Linked DNA regions of Callithrix jacchus. The protein of the gene in region 2 purifies or fractionates together with the protein of the main gene of each other region. This does not show direct contact. Links are inferred from orthologs where the notes say so. Each region holds a gene or a part of one and is shown on either strand. Other genes may lie near its edges.

Region 1 (3,648 bases), on a different chromosome or scaffold from region 2:
GAGACTTCAAGTAGTATTTCTCATTTTGTTCTCGCCATACTTTGTTAAAGCCTCTCTGAGCTTCTCGCCATTCTTCCTCTTTCATCTTCAACCTAGTGAAGTGGGAAGGGATGGAAACAACATATGGGAATTCAGAGGGTTTAGAACAAAGAAATCTGCCAGGTTTACTTTATTTCAAGAAAAGTTAAAGCTATATTAGGTCTGTCAAAATTATTGGCAACTTAGGATGAATGTTATCAAATCTGTCTTGAACTCTGTTTCATGAGGAAATTACTCATCCAAGACTTATTTTGGGGAAATGATTTATCTCAGTCAAATAATTTCCCTAGAACAGTTACTTATCAAACAGCATTCCAAGGAATACCTTTGAGATTTAAGGAAGTCTTCCTTGAAAAAAACAGTTCTCTTCTTTTGCCAGCAAAAATAAAGTTAAACATGTTTCTTTGCTGCAGGATTTTGCAAAATGTTCACAATGCTAATGAAGACATAGAAGTCCAAGAGCAGAGAACGTGCACAGTAATGTTCCTCTGGATACAGTCTGGAAAGTTCTGACCAGAACTGATTTTAATAACCCAGAAGACAACAGACTAAGACCAAAAAAACAGCACTAAAATGGAAGAATAATCAACATCTCAAAAGCCAGAGTTAAATGTTACAGGCAAAAAGAAACCATCAATCTGTGCCAGCTCTTGAGGGAAAGATGAAGGACAAATAAAATCTGGGTATTTGTCAACAATGCAGCAAACAAGAATTAATTTTTACCAGATGATACTTAGAGAGAACCAAGCTCACAGCAAAGGATTCAGTGTGGTCAAGAATGACATAGGGCTGGGCATACTGTGGCCTGTGCTATAATCCCAGCACTTTGGGGAGGCCAAAGCAGGAGGATTGCTCGAGCCCAGGAGTTAGAGGTCAGCCTGGGAAACATAGCAAGACCCTGTCTGTATTTAACAAAATTAACAATTAGCTGGGTATGTGGTGGCGCAGGCCTGTAGTCCCAGATCCCTCCTACCCTGAGGTAGGAGGATCACTTGAGCCTGGGAAGTCAAGGCTGCAGTGAGCTGTGTTCACACCACTGCATTCCAGCCTGGGTCAAAAAGTGGAGACCTTGTCTCAAAAAAAAAAAAAAAAATTAATTAAAAATAAAAAAGATTTTAAGTTAATCCTGAGTGGCAGGAACATGGGTGGCAATTATCTTTTCTTTTCTGTATTTTAAAATACTCCCTCAAACATATACACAGAGCCTTCCACCATGAACCTACAAGATTTGTTCTCTAACGTTGGTCACAAAGAACCCCCAAAAGAAGTTCCACTCTGCATGTAAATTCCAACAACCAGGGCTGGGGAGAAAGAGCGGTCTCATGGGACAACCAGGTTGAAAACAAGAGCCTTATTTAGTGGGACACTGACACAGTAGTGAAGTACACTAAAGCACCGAGGGCACATTTGCTCAGGTACCTTTTAAGGACAATTGGGACAGCGATGGAAGGATTCTTTCTCAGACCATCAATGATGTCAGCTGCTTTATCAGCATATATCCTCTGGAGTGCTTTTCTATGGATGACTTCTGATGTGCCCCCAAGGGTGTTGTCCAAGCGAAATTTGGCTTGTTCCTCAGCAGACAAGCGGGAAAGCTTCTTCTGTATTGCTTCCAGAACCCGGATTGTTGCCAGATTGGTTTCTAAAACTACATCAAGCTGAAGAGGAAGACAAAGGTATGCTTAGGACCCAAATCAGAATAGAATATAGTGGTTAGACGAATAAGGTAGGGAGTTGAACTCCTTGGATTTGAATCCTGGTTCTGCCTTACTAGCTGCATAAGGCTGTTTCCTTACCAGTAAAATAGGGATAACAGCACCTATTACTCTAATAAGCTTCTTTTTGGATTAAATGATATAATCTACATAAAGTATTTAGCACAATGCATGGCACTTTAAGAACCATAGGACTGAGTCAGTAGTCTACAAAGCAGAAAAAAAAAAGAACCATAGGATTAAGTTGGATACATGGTAGTTATTACCTCCATCACCACCAGTGTGTGCCTTGCTTAGGACTACTGATCTTGCACCAGAGGAACCTAACAGGAGATGACTTTACTGATACGTTTCTCTGAACTTTCCTGAATTGCTAAGATCCATTATGAACAAACATCATCAAAACAATCCCAAAAGACCTCTGTCTTGAGAGTTTTTAGGTTTAACTTGAAATATTTAAATATATTCAAATACTTAAATATTCAATAGCCTTGTTCTGCATCCAGTAATAGTAAAAGCAGTGACTATCATACCCTAAGGAGTTTGCTGTTGCATCTGTGGGTAATCATTTAAATTCTTATTGAACTCCTGGCAACCTTTGATTCTAGTTTTTCCCTAGCATAAAATAAGGTTCTTTAAATGAGAAACAGAAAATGAAGTAAATGGGCCAGGTGCGGTGGCTCACGTCTGTAATCCGAGTACTTTGGGAGGCCAAGGTTGGTGGATTATGAGGTTAGGAGATTAAGACGATCCTGGCCAACATGGTAAAACCCATCTCAAAATACAAAAATTAGTTGGGCATGGTGGCGCGTGCCTGTAAATCCAGCTACTCGGGAGGCTGAGGCAGGAGAATCACTTGAACCTGGGAGGCAGAGGCGACAGTGAGCTGAGATCACACCACTGCACTCCAGCCTGGTGACAGAGCTAGACTCCGTATCAAAGAAGAAGAAAAAAAAGAAGTAAATGAGCAGTCTCAAGAACCTACAGCCAAATGTTTGCAGAATTGTTCCCTACGTTTTCTTGTTTTGAGACTCTGGTAGTCATTTTGTCAATAGTTCTGGCCCCTCTTGCTCTCCAAATACAGACAAAAAGGGACTAAATTTCCTGGCTCCCTTATGAATGAATAGGGTCATGTAACTAGTTCTGGCAAATGATTTGTTATGAGTTGAGTAAAAGTAATGTTTATTACTTCTAGGCTGGAGCATTTAAAGGTAAGAGATCTTTCTGGGCTTTCTTTTCCTTCTAGTAACTGGCAACATTCATGATGGTGGCAATCCCTTGGCCTGGGTCCCCTGTGATTCAGACACGCCAAATCCCCTGCTAAACACCAACGTACACGTAGAATGATTAGAAATTAAACCCAATGGTTTTACAAGTCACTCAAATGTGGGAATTGTCTGTACTGAAGCATTACTAACCTATTTATGATTGGTAAAGCATGTTCCTTCAAACTAGCCCACCCCATCAAATCTTAAACACATGGACACCCCACACTTCTTTCATCTTTGCCCTTGTAGTCACAAATGAGAAATGAGGCTGCCTCTCATTTGCAGGCATACCAGTTGAGAAAGGATGGGAACATTCTGTCAAAAACAGATGCCAAGCTCTCCTAACTCATCAGCTAACCCTACTAAATATAAATAACAAAGAAATGTCTTCTTTAGTTTGGTAATACTCCTATGGAAGTTAAAATCTGTCATGATTTAGTTTTCTGCAAATAGCTGCAACTCCTTATAAATGCTGGGGCAAAGATGGCCAACCACCTGCCAGTGGTGAGGCAGCATGTGGCTGTTCATTAAAAACACACCAGAAACAGCTGAAGCAAGTGTGACAAGGGAAAACTGGCAAAGAGCTAAGAGTATTAAAAAAAAAAAAAAAAAACACTAGCAAGATA
Region 2 (4,277 bases):
CAGCCACCCACTCTGCCTTAGGCACTAACAGGATTCCTGGACCCCGCCTGGATGGAGAGCGCTGTAATAATGAATTGTATTGTATCGAAAACAAGACGATAAATATCTACAGAAGGGAATGTGACTGGTTCTGCCACTGACTAACGTCTGAATTTGCGTCCCGGTCAGAAAAGTGGGCAGGACAACAGCATCTGCAAGATAGCATCTGAGCATGAAGGCACTTGGAAAGGTATCAAGGCAGCAAATGTTCCGGGGGTGCTTTTGCAAGAGGAGCCTCTCTTGGAGCTGGACGTACACTTCGGTTCCCTTTGCACGCAGGCACCTTGGTCGCCTCCCCCAACTCCGTCCCCTCTGCTCCAGGCCCTCATTTTTCTCTCTCCATTCCCCTTTTGGCCTTTCAGCAAGCTTTCTCCTTCCCCACCCCCCGCCTCCTCAGGGGCTGCGAAGTTCCCTGGCAGAGCAGGGCTCAGGTAAGCAGGCCCAGGGCAGTTCAGCCCAGCTCTCCCCAGCTCCGCCAGCTTGGGGTGGGGTTGCTCTGGGACCCCTACAGGTGACAAAAATGACTCAGCAGGGGCCGGGACTGGGATGAGAAAGGAATGCCAGTGCAGTAACAAAATCCCCTGAAGCACGAAGAGGCCGCAAACCGTCATCTTAAGGACCCACATATCCAACAAATTAAAATGTAATTTATTGTAAATCGGGTTCAGCCCGCCGGCCGCCTGTGCCGCCACACGCTTCACATTTAGCCTAACAGGGCGGCCAGGCGGCTTTTGCAGGCAGAAAACGCCCGCGGCCTCTCCAAAAGGTCTCCTCCATCTGAGACCAGCCCCACTTCGGCCCGACCCGGCCCCAGGAAAGGCCAGTGGGCGGGAGGAGAACATCAGGGGTGCAGAGAATTGCATGTGCGTGATTATCAGGGAGACATTGAAGGCACAGTAATCTCTCGAGAACAGGAACCATTTTCCCCTCTTGCTCTGAGATTTTGCTTGGCTAAGCGGCGGCAGCCTCCCTGCCCCCTCTCGCCCCCACCACCGCTGCCGCTACAAGCAACCACGCCCCGCGGGCCCCAAGGCTCGCCGCCCCCGGGCGCGCTGCCCCCGCGGAGCCGACCAGCCGCGCCTCCATTCGCCCCGCCCCCGCACGCCCCCATCCGCCCCCGCGGCCGGCCCTGGGAGCGCCGGGCGAGCCCTCGCGCCTGCGCATCGCCAACTTCCTGCCGTGACACGCCCCGCCCACCCCCAGAAGCCCGCCTCCGAACGCCGCGTGAAACCCGCCCGCCGCACTTCATTGGTCGCGGCGCCAGAGCCGTTGGCTCCCAGACCCGCCTCTCCGCCTCCTCTCACTTTTCCCAGGGCGGATGCGCCTGCGCTCAGCTGCCTGGGCGGGCTGGGAGGCGCGGGTTGAAAAGTCTCGTTCCAAGTTTGGAGAGAGAGAGAAGAGCGCTTCAGACCTCGGTACCCGCGAGCGGGGAGGAGGCAGGAAAGAAGAACGCGGCGTCTGGGGAGCACCCAGGCCGCAAGACTGGGCCCGGGCTTTCGTGAGCGGGAAGTGCGTGACGCGCTTGGGAAAGGCAGGAGCGCCAGCGGTCGGGCTGCTCTTGGCTAACGAGGGGAGTCCGAGGCGGCGGCGAGGGGCGAACGACCCGACGCAAGATGGCGAGTAAAGAGAGTAAGAGGCCCTGCGGGGCGGCGCGCGCCGGGGCCGCGGGGGGCGGCGGGCCTGCGAGGCCGCGGCACGCGCCGGCGAAAGGCGCGAATTGGCGTGCGGAGCAGGGGGCGGGGCCGGGCGCGAGGCTGGGCGCGCGCCTCGTGGGGCCTGCGCGGGACGGGACCGCCGAGCCGAGGGCTCCGAGCACTTCCGGAACCGGGCGCGGGGCCGAGGGCTGGGCCCCCCTCCTCCCCTCCCTCCCTCCAGCGGCTTCGCTCCCTCCGGCGCCCTAGGCCCCGTGGCGGAGGCGGTCGCCGCTGCCTGGAAGCGAACACCGCGGCTCTTTACAGGCGCGCGCGTCGATCGCCTCGGGGTCGCGGCCCTTGTCCGGGGGTTGCTGGAGCCCTCCGGCCTATGGCGGCCGTCAGGACCTGGGGCCTCCCCTGATGGGGAATGAAGGGACTGGGCCTGTGGGCTTCTGCTACATGTACATTTGTCTCACCCAGTGGGTCGCGCAGCCCCTGTACATATAAGTCGTCATCTTAGAACAGGTGCGAACAGCTGTAGTAGGGTAAACAATTTCCATGTCCGCGTAATTGACTACCCAACATGGTATACGCAGGAGGTATTGATCTCAACTAAAAAAAATACGCTTCCTGGTTGTGTTAGTATTCTCTCCGCCTCCTGGAAGAGCGGTTAGTTGTCCGTGTCCAAATTAGAGGTAAAAAGAAAGCGTACATGAGGTGTGGCCATCTTGAGATGACCTCCAATTTCTGACTTCAGTCCATCTCAGGCACTTAATCGTGTGGGCTTTCTCCAAATTTCAGTGTTTGAAGATACTGTGGAGGAGCGTGTCATCAATGAAGAATATAAAATCTGGAAGAAGAATACACCGTTTCTATATGACCTGGTTATGACCCATGCTCTTCAGTGGCCCAGTCTTACAGTTCAGTGGCTTCCTGAAGTGACTAAGTAAGGGTTTCTGGCAACTTTTATTTTGCTTAAATTTAACTGTAGTTCTGAATTTCCTAGTTTTGACGTTTTATACATAGAACATAAGTATGTAATCAGCCCTTGCATGAGGTAGCAGGTGGTTTTTATTTTCAAAACTTACGTGATTTGTGGGATGATTTCTGGCATATACTGTGGCGTTAAAAGGGGAGAAAGAATCTGTTGTGAGATTAATAGTGTTTGGAGGAAATACTGAATGTATTTGACATTGCCTGGGCTTGAATGTAGAGCAGCATCTCTCTGGGCCCAAACTACTACATGTCTTTAAAACTTCATTGAAAAATAGAACATATACAGAAAAGTTCACACATTGTTAAGTGTATGGCTTGATAAATTTTTACAAAGTGAACACGTAAGAGGCACCCAAGATAAATACATTTTAATTGGTAAAGGGGAAAAGACCTTGTCAACAATTGACCAAAGAATGGGTATTATCGCCGCATGTTTTCACTCATAGGCGGGTATTGAACAATGACGAACACGGGGAGGGGAGCACCACACACTGGGGTCTGTTGCGGGGGAGGTGATGGGGAGGGATAACATGGGGAGAAATGCCAGATATCGGTGACAAGGGACGGAGGCAGCAAACCACCTTGCCATGTATGTACCTATGCAACAATCCTGCATGATCTGCGCATATACCCAAGAACCTAAAGTGCAATTTGAAAAAAAAAGGTGTTAATCAGCTTCTAATATGGAATCCACTTTGAGATTGCTGTTAGTCTTCATAAGAGTATTCTTTTCTGTTAGATCTACAGTTTCTCTGGTAATAATTGCTGGCATTTATTGAGCACTCAGAACAGGGCCTGGCACATCTGAAGAGTCTACATCCTATTGTAATTCTCATAATAGTACTGTGCTCTAGGTACTTTTCATCATCTTTGTTTTACTAATAAGGGAACTGGGACTGAGCGTTTAAGTGCTATCCCAGGATCACACAGCTGGTCCCTGCATTAGATTTCTCATTCACTTGCACTTTTCTAGTAGGAACTTGACCATGTACTTTTAAAGTGTATTAAATACGGAGCCAGGCACAGTGGCTTACTCCTGTAATCCTAGCGCTTTGGAAGGTTAGCTTGAGCCCAGGAGTTCAAGGCTGTAGTGAGAGCGAGAGACCCTGTCTCCCAAAGAAACAAAAAAAAAGTGTATTAAAATTGGGTGTTGTGGACATATAAGTTAAAGAATATTAAATTAAACTCTAACCTAAAAAGAGGATTTTGTAACAAGTTATAAAAATAATTTTTGGCCGGACGCAGTGGCTCACACCTGTTACCCTATCACTGGTAGGCTGAGGCAGGTGGATTGCCTGAGTTCAGGAGTTCAAAACCAGCCTGGGCAATGTGCTGAAATCCCGTCTCTACTAAAATACAAAAAAAAGAGGGCCAGGCGTGGTGGTGTGTGCCTGTAGTCCCGGCTACAGGGAGGCTGAGGCAGGAGAATTGCTTGAACCCGGGAGGCAGGGGTTGCAGTGAGCTGAGATCACACTACTGCACTCCAGCCTGGGCGACAGAGCAAGACTCCGTCTCTAAAATAATAATAATCATAATGAGCTAATTTTGTATAAAACTGCTCTTACAATGGCTAGGTTCTGCACGCAAACATTGATTTCCATACAGATA

Evidence for each region. Proteins that work in one complex are often made in the same cells at the same time.
Region 1: the proteins of RBBP7 (region 2) and SIN3A purify together in Homo sapiens (affinity purification with mass spectrometry; 8 studies listed by BioGRID and IntAct, counting the BioPlex papers as one, with this or other methods). This does not show direct contact. The link is inferred for Callithrix jacchus from reciprocal best matches to the Homo sapiens genes RBBP7 and SIN3A.

Annotation. Positions count from the first base shown.
Region 1 is NC_133509.1:22,463,563-22,467,210, reverse strand, and holds part of SIN3A (paired amphipathic helix protein Sin3a), read right to left. Parts: intron 1,698-3,648; coding exon 1,459-1,697; intron 93-1,458; coding exon 1-92. UniProt on the Homo sapiens protein: Acts as a transcriptional repressor. Corepressor for REST. Interacts with MXI1 to repress MYC responsive genes and antagonize MYC oncogenic activities. Also interacts with MXD1-MAX heterodimers to repress transcription by tethering SIN3A to DNA.
Region 2 is NC_133524.1:17,126,355-17,130,631, reverse strand, and holds the start of RBBP7 (histone-binding protein RBBP7), read left to right. Parts: upstream 1-1,430; 5' UTR 1,431-1,652; coding exon 1,653-1,668; intron 1,669-2,474; coding exon 2,475-2,619; intron 2,620-4,277. UniProt on the Homo sapiens protein: Core histone-binding subunit that may target chromatin remodeling factors, histone acetyltransferases and histone deacetylases to their histone substrates in a manner that is regulated by nucleosomal DNA.